Macaca mulatta: one gene and its partners. The protein of the gene in region 4 interacts with the protein of the main gene of each other region in a pairwise test. Links are inferred from orthologs where the notes say so. Each region holds a gene or a part of one and is shown on either strand. Other genes may lie near its edges.

Evidence for each region.
Region 1: the proteins of LSM3 (region 4) and KEAP1 interact in binary tests that used the Homo sapiens proteins (3 or more experiments, as listed by UniProt). The two-hybrid records come from large-scale screens. The link is inferred for Macaca mulatta from reciprocal best matches to the Homo sapiens genes LSM3 and KEAP1.
Region 2: the proteins of LSM3 (region 4) and LSM10 interact in binary tests that used the Homo sapiens proteins (3 or more experiments, as listed by UniProt). The link is inferred for Macaca mulatta from reciprocal best matches to the Homo sapiens genes LSM3 and LSM10.
Region 3: the proteins of LSM3 (region 4) and CLNS1A interact in binary tests that used the Homo sapiens proteins (3 or more experiments, as listed by UniProt). The link is inferred for Macaca mulatta from reciprocal best matches to the Homo sapiens genes LSM3 and CLNS1A.

The regions. Positions count from the first base shown.
Region 1 is NC_133424.1:11,222,943-11,230,728, forward strand, and holds the start of KEAP1 (kelch-like ECH-associated protein 1), read right to left. Parts: upstream 4,252-7,786; 5' UTR 3,813-4,251; intron 3,469-3,812; exon of another isoform or gene 2,334-3,468; intron 1,456-2,333; exon of another isoform or gene 811-1,455; 5' UTR 764-810; coding exon 125-763; exon of another isoform or gene 1-124. UniProt on the Homo sapiens protein: Substrate-specific adapter of a BCR (BTB-CUL3-RBX1) E3 ubiquitin ligase complex that regulates the response to oxidative stress by targeting NFE2L2/NRF2 for ubiquitination.
Region 2 is NC_133406.1:204,392,457-204,400,145, reverse strand, and holds LSM10 (U7 snRNA-associated Sm-like protein LSm10), read right to left. Parts: upstream 4,733-7,689; 5' UTR 4,645-4,732; intron 1,405-4,644; 5' UTR 1,381-1,404; coding exon 1,009-1,380; 3' UTR 679-1,008; downstream 1-678. UniProt on the Homo sapiens protein: Appears to function in the U7 snRNP complex that is involved in histone 3'-end processing. Increases U7 snRNA levels but not histone 3'-end pre-mRNA processing activity, when overexpressed. Required for cell cycle progression from G1 to S phases.
Region 3 is NC_133419.1:78,059,185-78,067,070, forward strand, and holds the start of CLNS1A (methylosome subunit pICln), read right to left. Parts: upstream 4,696-7,886; 5' UTR 4,603-4,695; coding exon 4,478-4,602; intron 1-4,477. UniProt on the Homo sapiens protein: Involved in both the assembly of spliceosomal snRNPs and the methylation of Sm proteins.
Region 4 is NC_133407.1:152,978,272-152,986,035, reverse strand, and holds the start of LSM3 (U6 snRNA-associated Sm-like protein LSm3), read right to left. Parts: upstream 4,182-7,764; 5' UTR 4,129-4,181; coding exon 4,108-4,128; intron 1,541-4,107; coding exon 1,430-1,540; intron 1-1,429. Other genes in the region: XPC (DNA repair protein complementing XP-C cells), read left to right, coding at 4,418-4,517. UniProt on the Homo sapiens protein: Plays a role in pre-mRNA splicing as component of the U4/U6-U5 tri-snRNP complex that is involved in spliceosome assembly, and as component of the precatalytic spliceosome (spliceosome B complex).

The DNA of each region.
Region 1 (7,786 bases), on a different chromosome or scaffold from region 4:
CCAGCCCAGAACCTCCTTTTCCTCCAGGTTCCTGCCTTCACATCTCAAGGGGAAACAGTGATGAGCACTCATCCATCCCTGGTCCTTCTCCTGACACTGCCCCCAGCCCCACCTCCCCGCTCACCTCCCCGAAATGCATGTAGATATACTCCCGGGCACGCTGGTGCAACTCCACACAGCCAATCTGCTCGGCGAAGTTGGCGATGCCGATGGCATTGCTGGGGTCCAGCTGCTGCACTAGGAAGTCACTGCAGGCACGGACAACGCTGTCGATCTGGTACATGACAGCGCCGTTCATGACGTGAAGGACACACTTCTCGCCCATGGAGATGGAGGCCGTGTAGGCGAATTCGATGAGGCGTTCCATGACCTTGGGGTGGATACCCTCAATGGACACCACCTCCATGCCCTGCTCCCGCAGCCCATTGGTGAACATGGCCTTGAAGACGGGGCTGGATGAGGCTAGCACCACCTTGTGGGCCATGAACTGGGCGGCAGGCGCGTCCTGGTACTTGACCTGCAGTGTGACGTCACACAGCTGCTGGCTGAGCCGCAACTCGTTCATGATGCCGAACGCCTGTTTGGTATGATCCTCCAGGGTATAGCTGAAGGTGCGGTTGCCATGCTGGGAGGGCGTCACCTCCGCCTTGCACTCAGTGGAGGCATACATCACCGCGTCCCCTGACCCCTCAGGGCACTGTGACCGCAGGGGCAGGAATCGGCTGCAGGCCCCAGCCCTGCTAGGCTTGGGATCTGGCTGCATGGGGTTCCAGAAGATAAGCAACACCACCACCTCTGGCACTCAGGGGCCTGGAGGGGAGAGAGCACAGGGCAGGGGGCACGGGTTGGGGTTGGGCCAGCACCTGCAGGGTCTCCTTTTGTAAGATAAAGCAATTCCTAGGTCAGTTTTCCTGCAGAGTAGGTGAAGCAGAGTGCATTTGCAAATTTGCAAACATCTCCCTGACCTGACCAGCCCAAGAGCCCATCTTAAAACATAGATGAGGTCATGTCTCTCCCCTGCTCTGGATCCTCCAACGCCTCCCACAGTACCTAGTAAAACTGAACTCCTCAACAGCCTGCAAAGCCCTACGCAATTAGCCCCTGCCACCTCTTCCCTTTGATCACTCTGTTTCAGTAATCTGGTGGCCTTTCCCTTTCTAGAGCATGTCGGGCTCATTCCTTCATTCGCCTCACCATTTGTTGGGCACCTACTGTATGCCAGGCACTGATCTGGGTGCTGAAGACACAGCAGTGAGCAAAACACACAAAAATCCTACCTGCTGGAGCTGACACCTGCGGGGAGGAACAATCATAAACTAAAATAAGCAAGACCTGGAAAATCAGCTTCATGAAGAAAATTACAACAGCATTGTGACAATGTGAGAATCAGGTGCAGTTTTTTTTTTTTTTTTTTTTTGAGATGGAGTCTCACTCTGTCACCCAGGCTGGAATGCAGTGGCTCGATCTTGGCTCACTGCAACCTCTGCCTCCCGGGTTCAAGCGATCCTCCTGCCTCAGCCTCCCGAGTAGCTAGGACTACAGGCGCCCACCACCACGCCCAGCTAGTTTTTGTATTTTTAGTAGAGACTGGGTTTCACCATGTTGGCCAGGCTGGTCTCAAACTCCTGACCTCAAGTGATCCGCCTGCCTTGGCCTCCCAAAGTGCTGGCATTACAGGCGTAAGCCACCGTGCCTGGCCCTGGGTGCAGTTTTTAAAAATCTGACAGGCCAAGCTTCTTTGAGAAGGTGAGGTTAGAGCTGAGACAAGGATGAAAATTATCATAAAGTGGGAGGCTGTGGAGTAGTTTTCCAGGCAGAGGAAATAGCAAGTGCAGTGGCTCAGAGGCTGAGACAGTCAATCTGGAGAATTGAGAAGGAGTGCAGTGAGAGCTAAGGACTTAAGGAAGGGTTTCATGGAAACCCCTGGAGCCTGGAGGGCCAGGAGATGAGTTATGTGTTTTGTGTTTTGTTTTTCGAGACAGAGTCTCGCTCTGTTGCCCAGGCTGGAGTACAGTGGTGCGATCTTGGCTCACTGCAACCTCTGCCTTCCAGGTTCAAAATATTCTCAGTCCCGCGCGGTGGCTCACGCCTGTAATCCCAGCACTTTGGGAGGCCGAGGTGGGCGGATCACGAGGTCAGGAGATGGAGACCATTCTGGCTAACACGGTGAAACCTCGTCTCTACTAAAAAATACAAAAAATTAGCCGGGCATGGCGGCGGGCGCCTGTAGTCCCAGCTACATGGGAGGCTGAGGCAGGAGAATGGTGTGAACCCGGGAGGCGGAGCTTGCAGTGAGCAGAGATCGCGCCACTGCACTCCAGCTTGGGCAACAGAACAAGACTTGGTCTCAAAAAAAAAAAAAAAGGATATTCTCATACCTTGGCCTCCTGAGCAGCTGGGATTACAGGCACCAGCCACCACCATGGGCTAATTTTTTGTATTTTTAGTAGAGATGGGGTTTCACCATATTGGCCAGGGTGGTCTCGACCTCCTGGTCTCAAGTGATCCCCCTCCTCGACCTCCCAAAATGCTGGGATTACAGGCATAGGCTGCTGTGCGCAGACATGAGTTATGTTTTGAAAGGAGTGGGGGATCTCCAAGTGGTTCCCCACAAGTGGATCTGCAAGTTCTCACTCCCCTCTTTCTGGGGCTCCACTCAGAGTCCCCTCTTCCCTGTTCTATTGTCATCACTGAGCTTGTCAGGAACTGAAATGACCTCCTTTGCTTGTCTGTTGATCGACTGTCTCTCGTCCCCGGCCCCAGCGCCTCAAATGGCAGGGAACCCTATGTAGGTTGGCGTCGGGCCAACCCTCTCCTGTGCCTCCCGCCTGGGGCCTGGCACTGCGCAGGGGTCAGTACACGGGTGGTTGGCTAAATGCCCGTGCCACCGTGCCTGCCAGAGCGGCCTTCTCCACCCTCCCTGGGTGCCACTCGGCCCCCCCTCCGGTGCCAAGGCCCTGGGCTTGCGTCTTGGTCTTTGGCCAATCGGTCAACGATGCCCCTTGGGCACCGGGCACTTCCCCCACCCTACAAAGCGACAAGTGGGCGACTGCGCATGCCCCTCCTGAGCCGCCACCAGGCCCAGAGAGGCGAGGAAGTGACCCCGCCGCGGCGTCTCGGCTGCCAATCCCAGAACGCAGATTGAGCCCCCCAACGCCTCGGAGGCCCCAGGCCTCCGTCTGCTCCACGCCTCCGGGTTCTCTCGCTCGGTTTCCGCCGCTCCCGGGCCACCCCGAGAGTTGCGCCGTCCAACAAAAAGATTGGACCCAGGCCTCGCCCTCCTGGCCCTCCGAGTCCTGGCGGGGAACTCGGAGGCTCCCTGAGCCGTGGCGCCCGGTTTCCTGGTCTCCGGGCACGACCGCAGGGGCGCTCGCGGCCCGCGATGCCCGCAGCCCGGGTACATCCCGCCTCACTCACCCCGCCATGGCCGCGCTCCGGCTCCGCCTCCACTGCCGAGCCTCGGCGCCTCCATCGCTGCGCGTGGGGGAGGCGCGGAGCGCGCGCAGGTCACCATGACTAAGCAGAGCCGGGCGCCCGCCTTGTCACAATAAAAGTCCCCGGGCCCTGGCCTCGGGCGGTAGGGACCGCGGAGGGCCGCTCCCCAGCCCCCGCCCACGCCTGCGGTCGCCGAGCTGCGCGGCCACCACTGCTGCCAGCATGGCCGCGGGGCGGGGGCACGCGGCCCTGGGCGCGCTCAGCCGCGTGGTCCGAGTCGCGGGGAGTCTGAACCCCGAGTTCCAGACCCGCGCGTCCCGGCCCGCACCGGGGATGGGGTGGACACCCCTCCCCGTCGCTGCTGCCGGAGCGCTCACCTCGGCCACCGGGTCGCCTCCGTAGGGGGTCCCTCGGGGTGGGGATGTCCGGGGCGCGCAGGGGCTCCGGGTACGGTGATGCCACCCGCACACTGCGCTTCCGGGAAGCCCGGGGGTCCGCGGCCGGGTCCGGAAGATTCCTGCCTTACCTTGGCTGTAGGAGACCCGCGGGCGCCTCCGCCGTCGGGGGGCCTCGGCGCCAGGGCTGCGTGGCCTGCGGGGTCTCGGTTGTCGGTTGGGGAGAGGCCTCGGGACGCCCGAAAAGGAGGCGGGGAGAGGGCGGAGAGGGCGCGGCGGGGAAGGAGCGGCGATTCTCCCGCCCTTCCCGCAGGTGCCCGGCGCCCGTCGGCGAGGAGTGGGGCATCGGGCGGGGACGCACAGCCTGGTCCCCCTTCTCACTGTCTCTTCCATCTCCTGGTTTCCTCGCCGGGCGTCTCCTGGCGGGGCTGCGCGCCACCACCTGCTATTCTTTTAACGACGCACAGCGCCTGCCTCGTGGTCTGGCGGCCACAGGATCTAGGGAAAATTGTCTACCTCGCTGGGTCTGCCTGTCTGCCTGCCTGCCTGCCTTCCTTCCTTCCTTCCTTCCTTCCTTCTTTCTTTCCTTCTTTCCTTCCTTCCTTCCTTCCTTGTTTTCCTTTCTCTCTCTCTCTCTCTCTCTCTCTCTCTCTTTTCCGTTAGAGACAAGGTCTCGCTCGGATCTGCACGCCCAGGCTGGAGTGCAGTAACGCCATCGCGGCTCACTGCAGCCTCGAGCTCCTGCCCTCAAGCGATCCTCCCACCTCAGCCTCCTGAGTAGCTGGGACCACAGACACGCGCCACCACAACCGGCCAATTTTTAGGGTTTTTTTTTTTTTGTTTTTTGTTTTCTGTAGAGACGGGGTCTCGCGATGTTGCCCAGGCTGGTCTTGAACACCTGGGTTTAAGAGATCCTCCATCGACCTCCCAAAGTTCTGGGATTATAGGTGTGAGGCGTTGGGTCCAGGCCCCGGGTTTTCCGTGTGTGTGTGTGTGTGTGTTTTTAATTGAGACGGAGTCTTGCACTGTCACCTGGGCTGGAGTGTAGTAGCTTGATCTTGGCTCACTGCAACCTCTGCCTCCCAGGTTCAAACAATTCTTCTGCCTCAGCCTCCCGAGTAGCTGGGATTACAGGTGCCCGCCACCATGCCCAGCTAATTTTTTGTATTTTTAGTACCGATGGGGTTTCACCATGTTGGCCAGGCTGGTTTCGAACTCCTGATCTCGTGATCCGCCCACCTCTACCTCCCAAAGTGTTGGGATTACAGGCGTGAGCCACCACGCTCGGCCTTCCTTGTCTTTATTTTTGATTTACTTCCTATCAAAAGGCGTGTGGCACCCGTCTTTAGGGGGGGTTCAAACCCCGAATCTGCCTCTTGCCAGTTCAGCGCCAGTAGGCGCTTACTTAGTTCTCTGTGGTTCAGTTTCCTCTCTGTAAAAGGTAGTAATATAATAGCACCTATCTACCAGATTATCATTAAGACTAAATGCGGGGCCGGGCGCGGTGGCTCATGCCTGTAATCCCAGCATTTTGGGAGACCGAGGTGGGCGGGTCATGAGGTCAGGAAATCGAGACCATCCTGGCTAAGACTATGAAACCCTGTCTCTACTAAAAATAAAAAAAAAACTAGCCGGGCGTGTTGGCGGGCGCCTGTAGTCTCAACTACACGGGAGTCTGAGGCAGGAGAATGGCGTGAACCCGGGAGGCAGAGCGTGCAGTGAGCCGAGATCGCGCCACTGCATTCCAGCCTAGGCGACAGAGCGAGACTCAGACTCAAAATGAATAAATAAATAAATAAAATAAAATAAACCTAAGTGTGAATACTAGCGCCCAAGAGATAGAAACCATTCCATTGCCATTTTTCATGACTGGGGATACTGATTTGTCATGTACACCGTTCATCATGTAACATTAACTTTTAAATAAATGTATGTAAGTTTATTTTAAAGAATTCATCTAGGCTGGGTGCGGTGGCTCACACCTGTAATCCCAGCGCTTTGGGGGCCGAGGCAGGTGGATCACGAGGCCAGGAGTTCAAGACCAGCCTGGCCAACATGGTGAAACCCCATGTCTACTAAAAATACGAAAAATAGCAGGGCGTGGTGGCGGGCGCCTGTAATCCCAGCTACTCAGGAGGCTAAAGCAGATAACTGCTTGAACCCGGGAGGCAGAGGTTACAGTGAGCAGAGATCGCGCCACCACACCCCAGCCTGGGCAACAGAGTGAGACTCCCTCTCAAAAAAAAAAAAAATTCGTCTAAATGTCATCTAAATTATCATTACTTTAAAAAGATAGAGAGGCCAGGCGCGGTGGCTCATGCTTGTAATCCCAGCACTTTGGTAGGCCAAGACGGGTGGATCACCTGAGGTCAGGAGTTCGAGACCAGCCTGACCAACATGGTGAGACCCCCCCCGTCTCTACTAAATACAAAAAATCAACCGGGTGTGGTGGTGGGTAGGCAGAGGTTGCAGTGAGCCGAAATCCTGCCATTGCACTCCAGGCTGAACAACAGAGAGAGACTCCCTCTCAAAAGGGGAAAAAAAAAAAAAGATGGGGTTTCGCCATGTAAGTGAATAATAAATGGAAACTCTAGGTCTCTGGAGCCTCCAGGGTGAATTTGAAAAACTGAACGTCCTGGCTCAGGTTCTGGAAGGAATCACGTGTAGGGCTATGTTAGAGTTACCCGGCTACCCGAAATCCTTGCTGCGTGTAGCTGCGTGTAGCTGCGTGTAGCTGCGTGTAGCTGCGTGTAGCTGCGTGTAGCTGCGTGTAGCTGCAGTCTGCAGTTCCAGACAGCTCCTCAGGGGGGCGCCCCAGATAGTCCGTGAAGACGTTGAGTGGCCAAGGTTGTAACCAGCACCCTCCTGGCACGTTTCAGAAAACAACCTTTCTAATATCTCTCAAAATCAAACCTACAGGTCCGGTGAGCCAGGTGCTTGTAGAGATTTATCCAAGGTGCACTCGCACACATACAGGAGGAAGCATGTGCACACACATTTATTGCATTATAATGCATATCATGGCAAAAGGACTGGATCCCATTCACATGTCCCTCTGTAGAGTCCTGGCTTAATCAGTGGTGGCACTTCCTTGCTAAGAAATACTATGCAGCCAGTTAAAAGGAGCAACACATTTACTGCATGGATATGTACCTAGATCTTCTATTTTTTCTTTTCTCTTTTTCTTTCTTTTTTTTTTTTTTCTTTTTCTTTTTTTTTGGAGACGGAGTATCATACTGTCACCCAGGCTGGTGTGCAGTGGTGCGATCTCAGCTTGCTGCAACCTCCAAGTCCCAGGTTCAAGCTATTCTCCTACCTCAGCCTCCCGAGCAGCTAGGATTACAGGCTTGAGCCACCACGCCCGGCTAATTTTTTGTATTTTTAGTAGGGACAGCGTTTCACCATGTTGGTCAGTCTGGTCTTGAACTCCCGACCTCGTGATTCGCCTGCCTCGGCTTCCCAAAGTGCTGGGATTACTGACGTGAGCCACCTCACCCGGACTCCTCTTTTGTTTTATTTATTTATCTTTTTTTTGAGATAGGGTCTTGCTCTGTCACCCAGGCTGGAGTGCGGTGGCACAATCATAGCTCACTTCAGCCTTGACCTCCTGGGCTCAAGTGATCCTGCTGCCCCAGCCTCCCAAGTAGCTGAGACTACAGTCACTCACTACCACACCCAGCTAACTTTTTCTTTTCCCCTGCTTTTTTTTCTTTCTTTTGTAGAGCTGGGGCTTCACCATGTTGCCCAGGCTGATCTCGAACTCCTGGGCTCAAGCGATCCTCCCTACTTGGCCTCCCAGAGTTCTGGGATTACAGGTGTAAGCCACCATGCCCCACTTATTTTTTTTTTTTTTTTTTTTTTTTTTTGAGACGGAGTCTGGCTCTGTCGCCCAGGCTGGAGTGCAGTGGCATGATCTCGGCTCACTGCAAGCTCCGCCTCCTGGGTTGACGCCATTC
Region 2 (7,689 bases), on a different chromosome or scaffold from region 4:
TCAGCCTCCTGAGGAGCTGGGATTACAGGTGTGCACCACCACGCCCGGCTAATTTTTTTTTTATTTTTTTATTTTTAGTAGAGACGGGGTTTCACTATGTTGGCCAGGCCGGTCTCGAACTCCTGACCACAAGTGAGCCACTTTCACTAAGACAGTTGTTTGCCTGTGGCAGGCCTAGAATGACAAGACAGCTACTACAAGGACTTGGGTTCTAACCCTGAGAACCCAATAATTCTCAGATCAGAGATGGAATTCCTGCTATTAGCAGAGCTCTCACACCCCAGGGGAGGGCCCAGGTTACTCCAATCTCTCTGCTTCAAGAAACAGCAATGAGACTAACAGCCTCTTCAACAGGGACTGAGTAGAAAAGCCATTTTCCACCTGCCCAGACTGAAGTACTCTCCTACCATTCTCAAATTGCTACATATTAGAATTGCCTGGGAAATTAAAAAACTCCCAGCCCTCAGATCATACCCCATACCAACGAAATATGAATCTCTGAGGGTGGGACAGGTGATTCCAATGTGCAGCCAAGCTTGAGTCTGCCCCCGACTACACAGGACGGTCTGGGAGCCCAGCACACAGAAGGGAAGGCCTGGGGCATGGACCTGTTTGTATTCAAGTTGGGTTTCACAAGAAAATGAACACAACTGCAAGAGGAATGGAGACAGTTAGAGGTGGCTTAGACTGAGCATGTTTAATTATCCTCACTGGGAGAGTTGAAAACTACTTGACAGGTTCCATGATCAATAAGTCAGAGATTCAGATCATCAAAAAGGGGGATTGTCACCTACCCCAAGGCCACAGACAGATAGGATTCTGGGTCCCAGAGGGAGTCTGGGAGGTGGAACCCTGTGAAACGCAGCTTTGACAGGTGGTGTCTGTTGGACACCAGCTTCTGGCCTGGCCCTGCTCTCTTCTCGGGTTCTAGACAGGGTGTGAGGGCAGGGAGCTGGCTCCAGAGAACACTGGAGGAAGCCGAGTTGGGGCCAGGGCTTGCTGAGGGCCTCACTTATAGTTTTTGGAGGGAAATTCCCACCGGCCTTGGCCCTTGCCACCAAAGTTCCGCACCCGATGAATAATCTGCAGCTGTTGCTCAATGGTCGAGGTGATGTTCACGTCATCTGGGATGTGGACGTAGCGGACATTGCGGCCTGTCACAAAGAGGTCATCCAGCTTGACCTGATGCCCCCAACGGTCCGTGTAGGTGACTTTGGCCAGGCGGATGTTCATGAAAGCATCGACATTGTCTATGCGTCCATGGGCCACGCTCTCATCCCGCAGGTCCACAGTGGTTACCCGGCCCTGGAGGCCCTGCAGTAGGATGATCAGGCTGTTCTCAGAGATGGTCCGCTCCTTCACTGAATGGCTCAGTGCCATTCTTCCACACCAGCTGCCTGCTTGCTGTGGACAGGAGCACACAGATGGCAGCTATAGCAGGGTAGGGGGTACAGTTGCCAACTCACCTCCACCAGGTTCTCAAACAAAATTCCCAGCACAGACCACCTCTGCAATTTTTGTATCTGTGGACACAGATACTTCCCGCACATGTCTCATGGAATCCTCACACCAACTTGCAAGCCAAGGATTACTTATGCTTATTTTATGAATGAGAAAAATATGGCTAGGATGGCCAGGCACACTGGGATACACCTGTAGTACCAGCTACTCAGGAGACTGAGGGAGGAGCTTCACTTGAGCCCAAGAGTTCTGCTGACCTGCTTGGGCAACATAGCGAGATCCACTCAGTTTGAGACCAGCCTGGCTAATACGGTGAAACACCATTTCTACTAAAAATACAAAAAATTAGCTGGGCGTGGTGGCACACGCCTGTAATCTCAGTTACTCAGGAGGCTGAGGCAGGAGAATTGCTTGAAGCCGGGAGGCAGATTGCAATGAGCCAAGATCGCGCCATTGCACTCCAGCCTGGACAACAAGAGCAAGACTCTGTCTCAAAAAATAAAGAAAATGATGATCATTTCTATTGAGCCAGGGACAAGAAAAGGATGCCTTTTATGGCTTCTAATCAACAGTAAAACGTAGGTAATGGTCAATGCAACGTTCAAAAAAACGATTACAGAAAGAAGGGAAGGGAAAGAATTTAGAGAAACAATAATTATAAAGGAAGATCACTGTCCTTGTTTGTCAATTATATGATTATCTACATTGAGAATTCAAGATAAATTATTAGGACCAACAACAAAAGTCAGTATCATTCCTAATACATTAATTTAAATAAATCAATAACTTTTAAAAACAAAAAATACGGCTAGGAGAGGTAACTTGACCAAGGTCACAGTAAATAAGTGGAATTGCTGGAATTCAAATCCGTAGCCGTAGGCCAGGCATGGTGGCTCCCACCTGTAATCCCAGCATTTTGTGAGGCTGAGTCGGGTGGATCGCCGGAGGCCAGGAATTCAAGACCAGCCTGGCCAACATGGTAAAACCCTGTCTCTACTAAAAATACAAAAATTAGCCGGGCATGGTAGTGTGCACCTATAATCCCAGCTGCTCCGGAGGCTGAGGCAGGAGAATCGCTTGAATCCGGGAGGTGGAGGCTGCAGTGAGCCAAGATCATGCCACCGCACTCCAGCCTGCATGAGAGAGACTCTGTCTCAAAAAAAAAAAAAAAAAAAAAAATCCATAGCCGCCTGGCTCCAAACCTCACACCAGGTGTACATTAGAATCATCTGGCGAGTTTTTAACTCGACCTTCCCCACCCCAGATTCTGATTCATTTGGTTAGAGGGGTGGGCCCAGATTTCCTATTTTGTAAAAGTTTCCAGCCGGGCGCAGTGGCTCACGCCTGTAATCCCAGCACTTTGGGAGGCCGAGGTGGGCGGATCATGAGGTCAGATCGAGACCATCCTGGCTAACACGGTGAAACCCTATCTCTACTAAAAATACAAAAAAATTAGCCGGGCATGGTGGCGGCACCTGTAGTCCCAGCTACTGGGGAGACTAAGGCAGGAGAATGGCGTGGACATGGGAGGCAGAGCTTGCAGTGAGCCGAGATCACGTCACTGCACTCCAGCCTGGGCGACGGAGTGACTCCATCTCAAAAAAAAAAAAAAAAAAAGAAAAAAAAGAAAGAAGAAGAAAAAAAGCTCCCCAGGTAACTCCAAAGTGCTGAGGGGTACTGGTTAGAAATGCATAATCTCAGGTCTCTCCCCAGGCCTGTTCTGAGATAATCCACTCCTTCACTGAGTGGCTCACTGCCATTCTTCCACACTGACTGGAAACAGACTCTGCATTTCAACATGACCCCGTATGTGAATTAGATACACGTGAAGGTTTGAGACTCGGTGCTTGACACCAGTAGTTCTCATACATTATCAGAATCATCTGATACATACAGTGTGTATCAGAATCATCTGAGGGGCCTGTTATCTCAGCTTGCTGGGCCCCACTCCCAGTTTGACTCAGGAGGTCTGAGGTGAGGCCAGAGAGAGTCATTTCGAACATATTCCCAGGTGATGCTGATGCTGCTGGTCAGGGGCCCACACTCTGGGAACTATTGGTCTATACCATGCAGCTGTTAGGTAAGTAGAAATTTAGGTAATGAGGCTGGGCGCAGGGGCTGACGCCTGTAATCCCAGGATTTTGGGAGGCCAAGGGGAGTAGATCACCTGAGGTCAGGAGTTCAAGACCCACCTGGCCAACATGATGAAACCCAGTATCCACTAAAAATACAAAAATTACCTGGGCATGGGAGCACCTGTAATCTGTTACTTGGGAGGCTGAAGCAGGAGAATCGCTTGAACCCAGGAGGCAGAGGTTACAGTGAGCCAAGATTGTGCCACTGCACTCCAGCCTGGGTGACAGAGCGAGACTCTCAGAAAAAAAAAGAAAGAAAATAAATCTAGATAATGAATTGGGGGGGGGGGGAAACCCAACCGGTAGTATATAAGGTACATAGGTTTTGAAGGTAGAGAAACCCAGGCTGGAATCCCCACTCCACCCCTAATTATGTAAACCTAGAAAAGTTAATGTCTCTGAACCTGTTTCCACATTTATTAAACTACAGGCGAAACAAAGCTACCAGAATCACACTCCACTGAAGGTACTCTCCTTTGATTTCAACGTACCCCGATATTGTATTAGTGCACTAGGTCTTACCTATCCCTTATTTTCAGACCCTGAGTTAACGGGGGTGCAACGCTCTCTCTTTACGACCTCACTCAGCATCCCGTCCAGGGCTGTGCAGTGTGGCACTGAGCGTGGCAAGCTAGACTAGGCCAGTGATGAGCGGGGCTGGGAGCTAAGTCCTTGGGCAGGGCCTAACGACCAGCCACCAGGCTGCAGCCTGACGAATCTGCGATCAAGCAAAGGTATGGGGTTGCTGCTGCGACTGCAAAGAGCAATCACTAGACCTCGAGTCAGGCCCGGGTTCTAGGACAGGCTCTGCCACCTTCTAGGAGGGAGACCACTTAGCAAACCACTTAGCTTCTCCAAGCTAGCTAAGCTACCGGTAAAACGGGATGAGCACCCCTTACTCAGAGCAGCGGGAGCGGGTCTGGGGAAATGAGCTATACTCGGTAAATGGGGAAGAAAACGCTTCCTGGGCTCCGGCACCTCCTTCCGGAGGTCCTGGCATACCCCACATTCCGCCCCGCGGCTCCCTGCACCGCCGACCCGGACCCACCACGCGACATTCCTTCCGCTTTCCCCGTCTGGGTCGCCGCCGAAGCTAGCGGGCGCCTGGACGGGCTGCCTCCCGCCGGCTGCAGCAGGACGGAGAAACCACGCCGGCGACCGGGCCGCTCTGTCCTCCCGGCGCAGAGTGCGTCTGTGCTCTGCGAGTCATCGCGGCACGGAGAAACTACGATTCCCAGAATGCTTCGCGGCGCGGGGCTCGCGCTCAGCAAATGCCGGCCTGCGTCATTGAAGTCTCCTTCACTAGTCGTTCATTCACTCCGCACGCGTTCTTGAACGGGCACCCTGGGCCAGGCTGCTTCCTAGGCTCCGGCATAGAGCAGTGACCAAGATCAAGTGGCTCCCCGAGCTGATGGCGCTGCAGGGGAGAGAGTCTTAGGAAAACAAACAAGAAAAATAGGGAAAAAGTTCTTTAGAAGATTGAAAGTGTGACGTGGTAGTGACTAGGTGGTCTTTTATTGGATTGTCAGGGGTGTCCTGAGAAGGTGACATTTGAGTTGGGATTAGTGACATGACGCCAAGCTTGTGAAAACTATGGGCGGAGCATTGCAATTAGAGGGAACAGTTTGTTAAATAAAATTTATAGGAGGCAGGGCTGGGCGCGGAGGCCCACACCTGTAATCCCAGCGCTTTGGAAGGAGAAAGCGGGAGGATCATTGGAGCCCAGGAGTTCGAGACTGGTCTGGGCAACATAGGGAGACCCTGTCTCTACAAAAAATAGAAAAAATTAGCCCACTGTGGTAGTGTACACCTCTGGTCCCACCTACTCGGGAGGCTGAGGCAGGAGAATTGCCTGAACCCAGGAAGTGGAGGCTGCAGTGAGCTCAGATTGTACCACTTCATTCTAGCCTGGGCAACAGAGCAAGACTCCGTCTCAAAGAAAAAAAAAAAAAAAAAGGCAGCCATTGGTTTGGACAGGGCTCCTGCACCAAGCCCAACAGACAAAACCAAAATGGAGTCACTCATGCTAAAGTTCCACATCACCAAGTGGAAACTAAGTTGCTTATCTGATATTCAGATAAATCAGAAGAGTGAGAGATACTTAAATCTCCAAACCATCCAGTTTTAGCTGGCAGGATAAGGAAGTCCCCTCTGCTTTAGCCTTCAAAGTTACAAGGAAAGTAACTTTGAAACAACCAATCTGCTTTTTGTTTTCTGTTTCTGCTTTCCTCAGCCCTTTTCTGTCTGTAAAACTAATCTCCTCTGCTCAGCTTATTTGAACACTCATTCCGTTTTATAGAATGAGATGTTGCCCAATTCTAGAGTTGCAAATAAAACCCAAATTTAACAAATTTAGCAAATAAAAGCCAAATCACCAATTAAAAGTCAATTTTTTTCTTTTCACAATTCATGCAAAGAACCTGGGGGAAATGACCTTGACAATTTAGGAACACAGGAAAGGCCAGGGAAGCTGGGGAGAGTGGTATAACAAGAGACCAGAGAGGAAGCAGGAGCCAGAGCATATAGGACTTTGTGAGCCAAGGTAAGGAGTTTAGATTTCATGGTTAGGAGTGCAGCCTCCGGATACAGTGCCTAGGCTCAAATCTGCTCCTGGCTGTGACTGGGCAAGTTAGCTATCTTCTCTGTGCTTCCGTCTTCTCAACTAGTACTAGAAGTGCTATGATAGGCTATTGAAAGGGAGCAACGTGATTTGATTTACTTGTAGAGACAGGGTCTCACCGTGTCACCCAGGCTGGAGTGCAGTGATGTGATCATAGCTCACTGCAGCCTCAACTTCCTGGGCTCAAGTGATCCTCCTGCCCAAGCCTCAAGAATAGCTGGGACTACAGGCACAAGCCACTGTGCCCTACCTGATTTACATTTTTTTTTTTTTTTTTTTGAGACGGAGTCTCGCTCTGTCGCCCAGGCTGGAGTGCAGTGGCCGGATCTCAGCTCACTGCAAGCTCCACCTCCCAGGTTCACACCATTCTCCTGCCTCAGCCTCCCAAGTAGCTGGGACTACAGGTGCCCGCCACCTCGCCCGGCTAGTTTTTTTGTATTTTTTAGTAGAGACGGGGTTTCACCGTGTTAGCCAGGATGGTCTCGATCTCCTGACCTCGTGATCCGCCCGTCTCAGCCTCCCAAAGTGCTGGGATTACAGGCTTGAGCCACCGCTCTCGGCCCCTGATTTACATTTTTTAAAAGTCATTCTGTATAGCCTTGGAAAAATCACTTTCTTCCTCAGCCTCAATTTCCTTATTATGAAAACAAAAAATAAGGTTTTTCTCAGAGAACTGGGAGATTTGAGTGACTTTCATTAATGTGTGAAAGCACCTGGCACAGAGAAGCAGCTCAGTTAGTTAGGCTTCTTGACTGGGCAGGGTGGCTCACATCTGTAATCCCAACACTTTGGGAGACCAAGGCAAGAGGACTGTTCAAGCTCAGGAGTTTGAGACCAGCCTTGGCAACATAGTGAGACCCCATCTCTAAATTTTTTTTTTTTTTTGAGACGGAGTTTCACTTTTGTTGCCCAGGCTGGAGTGCAATGGCCCGATCTCGGCTCACCACAACCTCCATCTCCCGGGTTCAAGTGATTCTTCTGCCTCAGCCTCCCAAGTAGCTGGGATTACAGGTATGTGCCACCACACCTGGCTGATTTTTGTATTTTTAGTAGAGACCGGGTTTCTCCATGTTGATCAGGCTGGTCTTGAACTCCCGACCTCAGGTGATCTGCCCTCCTCAGCCTCCCAAAGTGCTGGGGTTACAGGCATGAGCCACCGAGCCTGGCCAAAAATGTTTTAAGAAATTAGCTGGGTGTAGTGGGTGCGCCTATAGTCCCAGCTGTCACAAGAACCTTAGGGTGTCACTTTGCCATGCGGAAACCTCTGTGGCTAGGAGCGCCTGTGCTTGACTTTTGCTTGTGCCTGCTGGGCTCGTTCTGCCCGCTCAGTCTGGAGGCTGAGCTCAGCTCGCACTACGGGCCCGGATACCACGCCTGCCAAAGGCGTGCCAGGTGTGGAGCCGTGAGGGGTGTGTGAGTGAGCACAGGGTCCGACCACTACACACAGCCAGATATGCTGGCTGCTGCAGCGGG
Region 3 (7,886 bases), on a different chromosome or scaffold from region 4:
GAATTCAGGAGGCAGAGGTTGCAGTGAACCAAGATTACACTACCACACTCCAGCCTGGGCGACAGTGGGGAGACTCCATCTCAAAAAAAAAAAAAAAAAAAAAAAGAGATTTGACAGTACATTCATTTATCTGGCAATTTTAATTTTAACAAATAGCTATTAACAACAAATTAAATCCTATTGCACGTAAATTATTCGTTGTACCACCACCAGATTTTCTAATTTTAGCAGAGGCCACGATGAAATAGGCTGCCATTAAAGTTTGCTGGGATGAGATTGTAATAAATCTACTCAAAGTATTCAAGTTATAACTTTTAAAGTGCTGTAGAGAAACATAAAAGATTTCACTGTATCATCTAAAAATATAACTGTTTTGTCTGATCATTAAATTCTGATTTTCATTTACTCTTTGTATATATTCTAGAAGAAATCCTTCTAAAATATCTAATTAACCATACCCAGTTTCAAAGAAACTGTGAGTCAAAAGGGAAAGACAAGAAGAATTAGAAACCAAGTAAACACGTAGAGAAAATGTTTTGCTGAATTCAAATGCTTTTGCACAAGTATGGTCAGTGTCCTTTATTCCCAGCATGGGATGAAAAACAGGACAGGAAGCTACGAGAGGTCTTGAATTTAGGTTAACTTAATTATTTGGTTTAAAATTAATTTTGGAATGAGATACAAAAAAAATTTATGTTTAAATTACCTAATTTTAATGTGATAACCTATTTTACCTGTTTTAAATGATTTTATATTATTCATGCCTCTGTATCTTCCTTATTTGGATAAAAATTCAACTTCCTGGCCAGATGCAGTGGCTAATGCCTGTAATCTTGGGAGACCGAGGTGGACGGATCACCTGAGGTCGGGAGTTTGAGACCAGTCTGACCAACATGCAGAAACCCCATCTCTACTAAAAATACAAAATTAGCTGGGCGTGGTGGCACATGCCTATAATCCCAGCTACTCAGGAGGCTGAGGCAGGAGAATCTCTTGAACTAGGGAGGCAGAGGTTGCACTGAGCCGAGATTTTACCATTGCACTCCAGCCTGGGCAACAAGAGTGAAATTCTGTTTCAAAAAAAAAAAAAGAAAATGCAACTTCCTATAAAAAACTAAGCTCTGAAATAAGTCGGAGATTCTAACTCTTTCAACACAAATCTGAGAGACTAAAACCAAGTCTAGCCAAAACCTAATCTGTTGCTGTCCCTCTCTGCCTCAAACTAAATAGTTTCACCAAAGCCTAAAGGCTATAAGCCAAACTCATGAACATGACTGTCTTCTTCTCCAGCTTTGTTATCTCTGGGCATTCTCCCTCAATGCCTCAGAGGAAGAACTGCTGGACTGTATATACATGTATACAGTATGTGTGTGTATTTATACTCTTTTTTTTGTATTTATGTTTCACACACAAAAAATGATCTTGGCCTGCCGCAGCGGCTCATGCCTGTAATTCCAGCACTTTGGGAGGCCGAGGCGGATGGATCATGAGGTCAGGAGTTCGAGACCAGCTTGACCAACATGGTGAAACCCCGTCTCTACTAAAAATACAAAAATTGGCTGGGCGTGGTGGAGCACGTCTGTAATCCCAGCTACTTGGGAGGCTGAGGCAGGAGAATCACTTGAACCCAGGAGGTGGAGGTTGCAGTGAGCCGAAATCGCACCACTGCACTCCAGCCTGGGCAACAGAGCGAGGCTCTGTCTCAAAAAAAAATAAATAAATAAAAAATAATCTTAAAGAAGAAACATAAGAGATTTGTTTGTGAAAAGCTGAAACAAATAATTTTTAATTTTTTTAAGAGACAAGGTTTCACTGTGTCACCCAGGCTGGAATGTAGTGGCATGATCACAGCTCACTGTAGCCTCAACTTCCCAGGCTTAAGTAATCCTCCCACCTCAGCCCCCCATAGTAGCTGCGACTACAGGTACATGCAACCATGACCGGCTAATTTTTGCAATTTTGTATTCTTTGTAGAGACAGGGTTTTGTCATGTTGCCCAGGCTGGTCAACAACTCCTGGGCTCAAGCGATCTGCTCACCTTGGCCTTCCAAAGAGCAGGAATTTACAGGTGTGAGCCACCTTGTCCAGGCTAAGAATTTTTAAAAAACTGGTAAGAACTTAAAAAGAGTTATACTTCCTTGGTGTGAGAATTGTATTGTGGTTATACAAGATAATGTCCCTGTTCTTCTGAACAGGAAGTAGAAAACATGTCTGCAATTCTCAAATGGCTCAGAAAAAAAAGAAAAACAGACAAACATGGCAAAATGTTAACTAATAAATCTTTGTGAAGGGTGTATGGGTAGTAATAACACTTACAACTTTTCTTTAGGTTTGAAATTTTTCTTTTTTTTTTTTTGAGACAGTCTCTGTCACCCAGGCTGGAGTGCAATGGCATGATCTCGGCTCACTACAACCTCCGCCTCTCGGGTTCAAGCAATTCTTCTGTCTCAGCCTCCCAAGTAGCTGAGATTACAGATGCCTGCCACCACACCCGGCTAATTTTTGTATTTTAGTAGAGATGAGGTTTCACCATGTTGGCCAGGCTGGTCTTGAACTCCTGTCCTCAGGTGATCTGCCCGCCTCCGCCTCCCAAAGTGCTGGAATTACAGGCGTGAGCCACCGCACCGGACCGTAGGTTTGAAATTTTTCAAAATGCAAAAACCAATACAGGACTGTCCCTCAAAAGGAGTTATAATATTGAACGAAGTGTCAACATACAGAAATGTCATGAATAAAAAAGGAATGCCTGGGAACTAGGAATGTATCTGTGCTCCATCTTCCATCACTTCAAAGAAACTGCTTTCCCCAAATATCAAAGATTTCCTTGTCAATACTCAATATACGCTCTTCATATTTTGTTTTGACTGCTCCTTCCTCCTTTCTCAAGTCTCTTCTTCTATGACCCACCCAAAGGTGTGTCCCTAGGGTTCTACACTTGGTCCTCTTCTCTTCTGAGATAGTTAATCCATTTCCATGAGTATACACTAATACTTCAACGACTTCCAAACATCTATCTTTAATACCACTTTCCCAAGACACACACTCTTTTTTTTTTTTTTTTTTTTTTTTTTGAGACAAGGTCTCACTCTGTCACTTAGGCTGGAGTGCAGGGGCACAATCACGGCTCACCGTGCCTCAACCTTCTGGACTCAGGTGATCCTCCCATCTCAGTTTCCTGAGTAGCTAGGACTACAGGCCGCCACCATGCCTGGCTAACTTTTGTATTTTTTGTAGAGACTGGGTTTCGCCATGTTACCCAGGCTAATCTCGAACTTCTGGGGCGATCCGCCTGCCTCAGCTTCCCAAAGTGCTGGGATTACAGGTGTGAGCCACCGCGCCCGGCCCAACACACACTCGTATGTACAACTACTCCACACATGTCCTGACCAAACTCATTATCTGCCTCTCACCTCAATCTTGCTTTTCCTACCACCCATATGTCCTATCTCAGTGACTGGCCTGAAGCCTAAGCCTTGTTCAATGTCTAAATTTCCCTTTAAAGCAACAGTTCTTTACAGTTTTTGTGCTCTGGATTCTGTGGTAGGCAAAATTTTGGCCCCCACGACCTTCAGTTTCTGGTGTCATGCGTGTGAATATGTTATATTACACAGCAAAAGGGACTTCGCAAACCTAATTAAGGTTACCAGTGGACAGCAACATAGGGAGATTATCCCGGATTTTACAGGTGGTTCCAAAGTAATCACATGAGTTCTTAGAGAATTTTCTCTGGCTGTCGACAAGTGATGGAGCAAAAGGGGAAGCAACACATATCTGAAGGGCAGGAAAGATTAAATGTGTCATTACAGGCTTCAAAATAAAGAGAACTAAATGTCAAGGAAACAGGGACCTCGGTTCTACAACCACAATATTTAAGGTAGATCTATCTGACTGTGAAAATACCAAAGTGCTCCAGGTGGCCAAATAAAAGGGCAACTCCTTCCAGGACCCCAAAACGGGAGTCTGGTACCTCTGCATATGACCCCTGTCTGTGTCGAGTTAAGGATGTTCCTCTCCTTACTATTCCTACAGAAAAAATCTATATTGTGTAACCAAACTTTCAAAGTCCTCCACACTCGGCTCTGAAACTACGTATCCTGCAGAGGGGAACATCTCCTGCATCTGTTCATCCGGAAAGACAGGCACACTTCAGACTCTTAAAACGAGACCGTGCGTTAAGGGCAACGCACGCGCCAGACCTCCAGTAAAAGGCGAGTTTAAAAAAACAAAACAAAAAAACAAAAGCACAATCCATGAGGGGAAATTCCGGCCCGAGAAAATAGAGAATGGAAGACTCGGGAAGAGTGCTAGAAAAATCGAGCCTTCCAGCCGGTACAGGTATCCCTGAGGCGTCCCGGACACGCGCCCCCGCTCCCAGCAGCCCTCCAGGCCGCCCCTTGCCCGGCTCCTTCGCACCGCCTGCTCCAGCAAGGAAGAGGGTGGCACGCAGGAGGCCGGCGCTGGGGACCGGGAACCCTACCTCTCAGCGATGTAAAGGGTACCAGTGCCGAGGCCCTTCCCGTTCAGCACAGCCTCGGTGTCTGGTTGTTGCCGCAGGAGCCCCTCCGCCGGCCCAGGCGGCGGGAAACTTTTGAGGAAGCTCATAGCAGCAGAAAGTGCGACAACACAGCCCCTGAGGGAGTTAGAACACAGCAATGCGTGCACCACACCGCTCGCCCTGGAAGAGGCACTCACCCCGGAAGAACAACTTAGTCTGCCCCGGAATCTGAACGCCGTCGACCATAGAGATGAGACATTCTAGGAAAAGCGTCGGAGGTCGGCTAAGACCGTGTGGAGTTTAACACCCCTCTCGTTCTTCCTCGCCATTTCTGAGGCTTTGGGCTTCAAGAACTGAGGGTTCTGTGGGAAGTCCCTCAAGATTGTCACAGTGAAATCACCATTGCAAAATTGTAACTGAGACACTGAAAGCAATCTGACCTACCCAAATCCATGTTGTTTCTAACCTCCAAGCTGTCCTTGTTCATTCCTCGTATAGGCTGAACTAACTTTGGGAGGAACTTAGTTTACAGTTTGAAGTTTTAAAACAAAGATGATGACAGCCTTTTTCCAAAACAAACTTCCTTCTTGCCTGGGGGCTGGACTGCCTTTGTAGGACTAACAAATCAGCCAAAGATTAGAAATTTTGTAATTTAGAAATTACAGCTGGAGGCCACAAGATTCTGACCCTCCCTAAACTGCACTTAAGATCGGTGCTTAAGATATGTTGCAGACCCTACACTTGATGGATCAGCTGGCACCACCAGATGCATAAACTGGCTATGTGATCTTGTGCCCCCTCCCCCGCAACCCAGGAACTGACTCAGGGCAAGAGGATAGCTTCAACTCCCTGTGATTTCATCCCCCACCCAACCAATCAACACTCTTCACTCACTGGCCTTCCCCAACCTTCCAAATTATCCTTAAAAACTTTGATCCCTGGCCGGGCACGGTGGCTCACGCCTGTAATCCCAACACTTTGGGAGGCTGAGACGGGCGGATCACGAGGTCAGGAGATCCAGACCATTCTGGCTAACAAGGTGAAACCCCGTCTCTACTAAAAATACAAAAAATTAGCCGGGTGTGGTGGCAGGCGCCTGTAGTTCCAGCTACTCTCGGGAGGCTGAGGCAGGAGAATGGTGTGAACCCGGGAGGCGGAGCTTGCAGTGAGCCGAGATCGCGCTACTGCACTCCAGCCTGGGCAACAGAGCGAGACTGTCTCAAAAAAAAAAAAAAAGAAAAGAAAAGAAAAAAAGAAAACTTTGATCCCTGAATGCTCTGGAAAACTGATTTGAGTAAAAATAAAACTCTAGGCTGGGAGCAGTGGCTCATGCTTGTAATCCCAGCACTGTGGGAGGCCGAGGCTGGCAGATCACCAGGTCAGGAGATCGAGACCAGCCTGGCTAATACAGTGAAACCCCGTCTCTACTAAAAATACAAAAACAAAATTAGCCGGGCGTGGTGGCAGGCGCCTGTAGTCCCAGCTACGCGGAAGGTTGAAGCGGGAGAATGGGGTGAACCCGAGAGGCGGAGCTTGCAGTGAGCCAAGATCGTGCCACTGCACTCCAGCCTGGGCGACATAGCGAGACTCCGTCTCAAAACAACAACAACAACAAAAACTCTAGTCTCCTGCACAGCGGCCCTGCGTGAATTACTGTTTTTCTATGACAATTTCCATCTTGATAAATCAGCTCTGTCTAGGCAACAGGCAAGGTGAACCCACTGGGCCATTACAGCAGCAACCCTGTTACAACCCTGTTGTAACTGCCCAATGGGTTCACCGTGCCTGCTGCTTAGACAGAGCCGATTTATCAAGACAGGGGAATTGCAATAGAGAAAGAGTAATACACCGGGCGAAGTGGTTCACGCCTGTAATCCCAGCACTTTGGAGGCCGTGGCGGGCAAATCACCTGACCTCGGGAATTCGAGACCAGCCTGACCAACATGGAGAAACCCCATCGCTACTAAAAATGCAAAATTAGCCTGGCGTGGTGGCGCATGCCTGTAATCCCAGCTACTCGGGAGGCTGAGGCAGGAAAATTGCTTGAACCCAGGAGGCGGAGGTTGCAGTGAGCCGAGATCACGCCACTGCACTCCAGCCTGGGCAACAAGAGCGAAACATTGTCTCAAATATTTAAAAATAAATTTAAAAAGGAAAGAAAAAGAGAGAAAGACGAATACATGGAGTCCCTTGCCGAAGGATGCACAGGACATAGAGACCACTCATCTGGAGCTCAGAAGTCTCCCAACTCGGTTATGATGTTCTGATCTGGCCACGCTGTCCCCATCTCCCGGGACTGTTCACATCTCGGGTCTACACAAACGTGTAGCATACGTCGATCTAGGTCTTTATACTGGCCTGGTGCACAAGCCACGTCCCCACGTGTCAAGTGAGCAGATAAGCATAAACGGTTAATAAGGGCAGGGTGAAGAGCTGGGTACATCGGTAAGGAGCTGGGGCACTGACTGGAAAGGAATTAATCCACCAAAATTGCAATTGATGTTTTGTTTCTTCGTTAGGCACTAAAGAGTATAGCAGTAAGAGGAAGAAAGACTTCCAAAATCGTCATAATGGTAGCTAAAGTTAACGAGTGTTCTGTGCCAGGCTCTCTTCCAGGCACTTTACCTGTATCATCTCTTCATTTACTCTTTGCAAGTTTGTGAAGTTACTATTATTATTATTATTATTATTATTATTTTTGATACGGTGTCTCGCTCTGTCATCCCGGCTGGAGTGCAGTGGCGCCATCTCGGCTCACTGCAAGCTCCACCTCCCGGGTTCTCCCCATTCTCCTGCCTCAGCCTCCCCAGTAGCTGGGACTACAGGCGCCCACCACAGCCCCTGGCTAATTTTTTGTATTTTTAGTAGAGACGGGGTTTCACTGTGGTCTCGATCTCCTGACCTCGTGATCTGCCTGCCTCAGCCTCCCAAAGTGCTGGGATTACAGGCGTGAGCCACGGCACCCCGCCCCCCCAAAGTTACTGTTATTGACCCACTTTACAGATGAGAGACCTGAGGCATTAAACTCAAGAACAATAATTTGGCCATGAGAGAACTAGTGAAATTCAAGTAAATCCTCTTGTTAACTCAGTATGGTATAATACCTTTGCAGTAGGACTGCTGAGGCTGGAAGCCAGGATGTGTGGGGTAGTTTTGTTTCTATCCTCTCAACAGTTAGGGTAGCATTAAATTTTTAACCTCTTTGAGATCAGCCTGTGCAACATAGTGAGACCCCCCATCTCTACCAAAAAATAAATAAAAAAATTAGTCCAGCATAGTGGCACTTGCCTGTGATCCCAACTACTTGGGAGGCTGAGGTGAGAGGATCATTTGAGCCTCAGAAGTGGAGGCTACAGTGAGCCACGATTGTGCCACTGCACTCTAGCCTGGG
Region 4 (7,764 bases):
GAAGAAGCCTCCAAGGGCCACAGACTTAAGTAATTAAGCTCAATTCCATTTGTATTCCCGAAGTTACCACTATTCCTTTCCTGGAGTCTCTCTTCCTTTAAGGCCAACTGTAGATTGTCTCCCTGGGTCCCTATTTCCTTTCCAAGCCCAGAGGTTCTTTATCGTTAGGTTTTGTGGAAGGTGGAACCACAGTACTTAAGAGTGGGGCTCAGGTCAGACAATCTAGATTCAAATTCTAGCTCTCTCTTTACTGGCAAGTGACTGTACCTTTCTGAGCCTGAGCTTCCTACAGTGCAAAGCAGGAATAATTAGTATGTATCATCACAGGGTTGTTATAAAGATTAAATCAGATATCACACACAAAATGCTTAGAATAATAGTAGCTGGTCTATAACTAATGCTCAATAAATGTTAGCTATTTTTAATCACTTTAGGGTAAAGTAGCAACACTAAAAACAACACACTTAGGAAAGCAACAAGTCATTAAGGAGAGGCAAAACCTTGAGGGTACTCTATGAACAAATGGGATTACTTCAAGGGACCAATTCTACAGATATTTTGCAGATATGCACAAATAAATATGTAAAAAAAAATGCTTACTGCAAGTATTTATGTAAGTATTTGTAGCAAGAAATGAAAAAAAAATCGATCACTATCATATACAGAATCCTAGGTAGTCATTAAAAAGAACAAATGAGAATTAAATGCACTAATGATCAATAATCTCGAAGAAAGATTAAGTGAAAAAAAAAAAGGTGCTGAAAAACGTGTATAGCAGGATCCATGTTTTGTAGAGGTAGGGTGTACATAGTGCAAGTATGTGCATATGTACATATATGAATGTATGTGTGTAAACATACAGAAACAGTAACCCAATTTTTAATTTTTTAATTTTTATTTTTTGTAGAGACAGGATCTCTCTATGTTGCCTAGGCGGGCAACACAGAGAACTCCTGGCCTCAAGTGATCCTCCTGCCCCAGCCTCCCAAAGTGCTGAGATTACAGGGATGAGCCACTGCACCCGGCCAAGATAATCCAATTTTTAATAGTGGTTACCAGTAGAGGAAATGGGATTTCACTTTTTACTCTATATATTTTTGTGCTGTTTAACTTTTCATAATAAAACACATATTTGTGTTTTAAGTTTAAAAAACATTTAAGAATGGAGGACAAATAAATGTTATTTACAAATAAACAGAAGGGAAAATGAAGGGAATAAAAATGTTCTATAATAAACATATTTCTATTAAAAGAAAAAATATTAAAAATGTGAATACATGCAGCTTCATCTGGCTTATGGAAACATGGGTGATTTTCCACTACCCTCTCTTCCTTCAAAATACCTTTTCACTCTGGACAGGTTTTACATTTCAAGGGAGTGGGGGTGGGAAGGAATCTGATTTCAAGGTAACTTGATAAATTTACTCACATGTAATCTGCCTCGAAGCTCTCGGTCATTTCTCATCTTCACATAAATTCGCTCATCTAGGCTGAGCCTGATAAGATCCAGGGGCTCCTCTACAGTGTTGGTAGTTTGTTGCTGATAACAGAAACAGGTTTAGTAATATAGTACTAGAGATAAAGTAGTGCTTAAATCACTGCTATGCTGTATGACCATGTGCAAGTTATTTAACCTTTTTCTGCCTCAGTCTCCTAATCTGTAAAATGGAGATAATAGTGTCTACCTAATACTGTTTTTATGAGGCTTAAGTGACATATATGAAGGCTTAGAACAGAACTTTTCACATAGTATGTGCTATATAAATGTAGATTAAAACACGCATACATAAGAAGGAGTTACACAGCAAAATAATCATGACTATACTTTGTTCCCTCAAAATCCAAACTGCCTGACCCGATTTCAGGGTATAGGGTCTTAGGAACTTTAGCTTTATCTCAAATATTATGTAATCATAGGAAAAACACTCACTTAATGCCTACCATATACTAGTCAGAATGCCAAGTAGAGGTGTAGGTTTATGGGAAGATTATGAATTCAGCACAGGTTGAGGTTAGGCTGCCAACTGGCCAGTAAGATGAATATTTAGTAGCCAGAATAGAACACTGGTTCAAAGCACTGGCTTAGCCGGGCATGGTGGCATGTGCCTGTAGTCCCAGCTACTCCGAGGCTGAGGTGGGAGGATTGCCTGAGCCTGGGAGGTGGAGGTTGCAGTGAGCCAAGATGGTGCCAACAAGCAAGCAAGCACTGACTTTGGAGTCAGGCAGTCTGGGTTCAACTCCTGGCTGTGACCTGACACTTATGAACTGAGATTAAAAATCATGCCATCTGTAATTCTCAGATTCTTCATTTGTAATTGAGAAAGCCACAACCTTCCTTCTGGATTCTTATGAGGATGAAACTAGTTAATGCATTTAAAACAGTGCCAGGAAAGCAGAAAATATTAATACTTAGAAACGGTTCCTTTTGGCTGGGCGTGGTGGCTCAGGCCTGAATTCCAGCACTTTGGGAGGCTGAGAAAGGCAGATCACCTGAGGTTAGGAGTTTGAGACCAGCCTGGCCAACATGGTGAACCCCGTCTCTACTAAAAATACAAAAATTAGCCAGGCGTGCTGGCACGTGCCTGTAGTCCCAGCTACTTGGGAGGCTGAGACAGGAGAATCGCTTGAACCAGGAGGCAGAGGTTGCAGTGAACTGAGATCACGCCACTGCACTCCAGCCTGGGCGATAGAGTGAGACTCCATCCAAAAAAAAAAAAAGAAAAGAAAAGATTCCTACTAATATTATATTATTAAAGAACTGCTGGAAACACTGGTTTTAGAGGTCAGGGCTAGGATGACTTGGGGTCACCCACATGGAAGGGAGGGTTGCAGCCATTAAAGAGTTAGATGATTCAAGGAGAGCTTCTTTAGTAAGTACACAAGGCCAGTGGAGGAAGGTAACTGAATTCGTAACAGGCGCTAAAGATTCAAAAGGCCCGATGAGAGAAAAAAAAATAACCTAACTCAACTGGTCCCTATGTCCCTCAGTTCAACAGGTGTTTGTTAAAGGATCAGATAACCAACTGTTAGATTACAATGATACAGAAGTCACAATCTCCACCCTCAAGGAGCTCATTCTAATGTGGATAGGCATATGAATAATTATAATACTGTAAGAATATGCACATGACAGAGCTCTACTGCTACCTAAGCCTCTGTCTGGGATGCCCACTTTCTGTTCTTTTTCATCCTGTAGCTTTATACATTGGCTTTTAAAAGAGGCCTCCTCTGATCATCTAACTCATTCACTCAAATATTTGTTGAGTATTTCCAGCACTGTTCTAAACCCCAAGGACAAAAGAATGAACAAAACAAAATGCCTACTGTTATGGCACTTACATTCTAGTCAGGAGAGATACACATTAAACAAAGATGCATACATTTAATATGAAAAAATAACGTTCTATGAAGAAAAATGAGGCAGGGTAAGCAGAGTAGGGGGAGTGCTATTTGGGCAGAAGTCCTCTCTGAGGAGGTGAGATTTCAGTAGAAAGTTTAAGTTGTAGCATGATCTCCAAAGATATTTGAGGAAGAAAAAGACCAGGTGAAAAAGCTTCTAGGACCATCTGTTATTCTGCATACCAGTTCCTTGTTTCCTTCATAGCACATCACAGTTCCTATAAATCTTACATATTTATATTTATCTGTTCTCCTCGCGAATATAAGCTCCAAGTCATGGCAAGGATCACTTATATATCGATGTCAGTGTCCCTGGCTCTTAGAACAGTGTCTAACCATACAAAGCTGATGTTCACTCTCTCTGCTGAATGAGTAAATAATTGTTGTGCTCAGTAATAACAACTCCTAACTTTATTATCTGGCTTTCTATTGGAATCCTGACAGCTCCGTGAGGTAGGCACGCATAATAATTTACAGATTTAAAAAAACAAAGCGAAGAGTGTGATGAATAGTCATCAGGTGGCCTTCTAACGGAAAAGACCTCAGGGCCTGCAGCAAAATTCGGACAGGGGTGTTTACGGAAAGGATGGGGCGGATTAGGCCGTGTGACTTGGAAAGAAGAGGCGCGACTGGCCATTTTTCCTGCGTTTGGAAAAAGCAGTTTAGTACAAGAAGCGGCGCCGAGCCACCGCCTTAAAATTCACTCACCTGGTCTACGTCGTCCGCCATGTTTCAAACCCTGCGCCCTTTCCCGCCTCTCGCGAGAACACAAGAGCAACGCCGAGCTCCGGAAACGTGATGCTACAATACACCGGAAATAGAAACCTGCTGTGCTCTTGCCTGCTTCCCGCGGTTTTTTAGTGGCCACGGGTATGGGGCGGAGCTTCCTTTGGGGGCGTGACTAGGCCTCCAACGAAGGGGCGTGGCCAGACGCGCCCGCCTCGGGGCGGGGCCTGCGTTCTAACGCATCGCGGCCTGGTGCGTCACTCGCGAAGTGGATTTTTCCCCGACAAGCAATATGGCTCGGAAGCGCGCGGCCGGCGGGGAGCCGCGGGGACGCGAAACGCGCAGCCAGAAGTCCAAGGCCAAGAGCAAGACCCGGCGTGAGGAGGAGGAGGGTGAGAGCGTGGCCCAGCGGGCTTCGCGGGAGACTCTGCCGGTGGGCGGAGGAGGCCCAGAGGCAGGGGCGGCGGGAGTCCAGACGCGGAGGCCGGGAGGAGGTTGCTGCGCGCGTTCCGCGCAGTGGGGGCAGCACGGCAGGCCGCGGCCGGCCCTCCCCGCTGTCCCTGCGCCTTTGTCCTCTGCACCCAGAGCGGCTTCCCGTGAGCCTCGCCCGACCCAAGCTCCTGCGTAGCTTCTTTCCCGCTCCCCGTTGTCCAGAGGATACAGCGCAGATGTTCAGGGTTGAACGCGGAGAAGGCAGTTATTTGTGTCCCAGGAAAACGGACGGACGGACCAGGACGTAGAGTGATGCAGTGTGCTGACTCCCGAATGATAACTTCAGCTGAGTCTCGCCCAGAGTTCCACAGTGGGATCCCACCTGACTTCCCCTCGTGGATATTGGATAGGCTTCTTACATTTGTCGTGGACAGTGCAGAGCTCATGGTCTTCCCCTTCAAATCTATGCTTTCCTCCGTTTTTCCAGTCCCAATACTTGTTATAAAACAAAGTCCACCTTTTTCTTATGTGCACACATCCAGTCCCGTCAGCAAGTCCAGTCAGTTCAGCCTCAGACTGTATTTCAAATTTGTCCACTTCTCTTCATTTCCATGGCCACAACCCCTGTCCAAGTCACCATCACCTTTCAGTTGAGTGACTGCAGTTTCCTCTTGACTGGCCTCCCAGCTCTGCATCCAGCAACGCAAATAATCTTTAAAAAAAAAAAAAAAAATCATGCCATGCTCCTGCTTTAAACTCTCCTTGGTTTTCCATTGCTCTTAGTTTAAAATCCAGTTGTCTTATCCTGGCCTGCAAGATGCTACGTGTTTTGGCTCTTGCTACCTCTCCTGTTTCTCCTACCACTTGTTTCCTTGCCAGATACCCTCCTCATTGGCCTCCTTTCTCTTCCTCAAATATGCCAAGTTATTTCTTGAGCCTTTTCCTTTGATATTCCTTCGGCCTAGAGTGACCCCCCACCATGGCTTTTGCCAGGTATGATTTCTTCAAATCTCAAGTCAGACATTCCTTGAGCAAACTAAGGTAGTCCTTCCCAGATACCCCGTGGATACTAAAACCTGTGATGCTCAAGTACCTTGTATCAAATGGCCTAGTGTTTCCATGTAACCTATGCGCATACTCCGACATACTTTAAATCATCTCTAGATCACTTGTAATATCTAATACAATGTAGATGCTATGGAAATAGTTGTCATACTATAGTTTTAAAATTTGTGGGTTTTATTTTTCCCGAAATATATTCATCTGTGGTTGGTTGAATCTGTGGATGCGGGGCCCGTCGATTGGTAGGGCTAAGTGCTAAATAAATATTTTTTATTTTTTATTTTTTTCGAGATGGAGTCTCACTCTGTCGCTGAGGCTGGAGTGCAATGGCATGACCTCTGCCTCCCAGGTTCAAGCGATTCTCCTGCCTCAGCCTCCTGAGTAGCTGGTATTACAGGTGACTGCCACCATGCCCGGCTAATTTTTGTATTTTAGGAGAGATGGGGTTTCGCCATGTTGGCCAGTCTGGTCTCTAACTCCTGACCTCAGGTGATCCATTCGCCTCGGCCTGCCAAAGTGCTGGGATTATAGGCATGAGCCACTGTGCCTGGCCAATAAATATTTTAAATAATTGCAAAATGCAGGCTGTAGAAGGAATTTCTGGGTCTCCTGAAATAACTGGGTAGATTAGGTAACCAGCAAAGGCTATCACACTCGATTCTGTGTTTCTATACCGATTATAAGTTCATCATCCATTAGAAAATAGTCAAATGGTAATAATTCCTAAACTTAGAAGGTGATTTACCTCATATGTAGTATTTCGGGTTCCATTTTATTCATTTACTCGTTCATTCAAAAAACATATTTTGAGTACTATGTGCTGCACATGAATGAGGTGACATGGGAGATAAGCGTATCTTGGAGGATCATAGAGTAGTGTTGACATGACATTTGCATGTAAGACATGCAAGGCAGAGTGTGCTAAATACTGTGGAAGAAGGTACAAGGCTTTGTAGCTTCCAAAGGATTAATCAAGTTTGACTAGCATGATCGGGGAACGCTTTCTGAAGTTGTTTGATCTGTGATTTAAAGGATGGTTGCTATTTTAGCAAGGGGTCACAAAAAAGGGGCTGGTATTCTAGTCAGAATGTAATTTGCATATATGGCAATTAAAAATTGTTGTAATCTGATGGAAATGCTACCTGCATTCCTCCCAGCTCAACACTTCACCTGGGTTCCAGCTTGGTAGAGCTTCAATTCTTAGTTATATGCACTTGGGTGAATTATTTTGGACAAGTATTTTAGCCCTTCTAAACTTCTTCTATGAACTATAATAACTGCCTTGCAGGGTGGCTGTAAGTTTTCAGTGGGATAGCATATAAAGCCAAGAGCTTTAGCTTTACCCATGTTAGGTAATTAGTTGGGCTAGCTGGTGTCATTCAGCCTAAATGGAGGTAAGGATGCACCCAAGTTTACTCTGCTAGCCAGAGGAGGTAGCAGTCAGTTCCCAAGGCAGCTTCCAATCTGCAGAGTTACAACTTTTGTTGTGGTTTGGTGGTTTGTTGGGGAAGCATAGACTTAGCAAGTGTGGTTTGGGCTGCAGGTGACAATAATTTGGTGACTGTCAGTGTAGTTTCTAACACTGTAATAGTGTAGGTTTTAACAGCACCCCTGTACATGCAAATGAAGGTGATACTTGGCTGCTTTCGACAAATAGGAAAAAAGAAAACAGGCTTCCACATGATTTCCTTTGTGTTACTAAAGCACCTCTGGTTTCTTTGCATTTCTTCTCTATGTTAACACCTTCGGTGATAATCCGTTAACTCCTTCAACAGCTGTTTATTGAGCGCCTACTATTTTCAGGCACTGTTCCAGGTACTAGGATAATAGTGGTGAACAAGACAGGTGAGGCACCTGCTCTCATGATTATAATCTGTGGGGAGGGGTAAGTAGAACAGATAACAAGTTAAAAAAAAAACAGATTCACATAATGGTAAGAGCTATCACCCTGTGTTAAGACTGCTGTGATAAAACTTACTTGGGTACATAGCAGAAAATGCTTCTATAGATGGGGGAAAAAAAAACCCTCAAATTTAAATGGGGCTGGGAAGGGGCAGCTAAATGGGAATCAGTGTCAGGGAAGGCCTTTGTAAGGAGATGGCATTTTGAGGCAGTTAGTGTAATTTTGAGCCATTCATAGGAAGT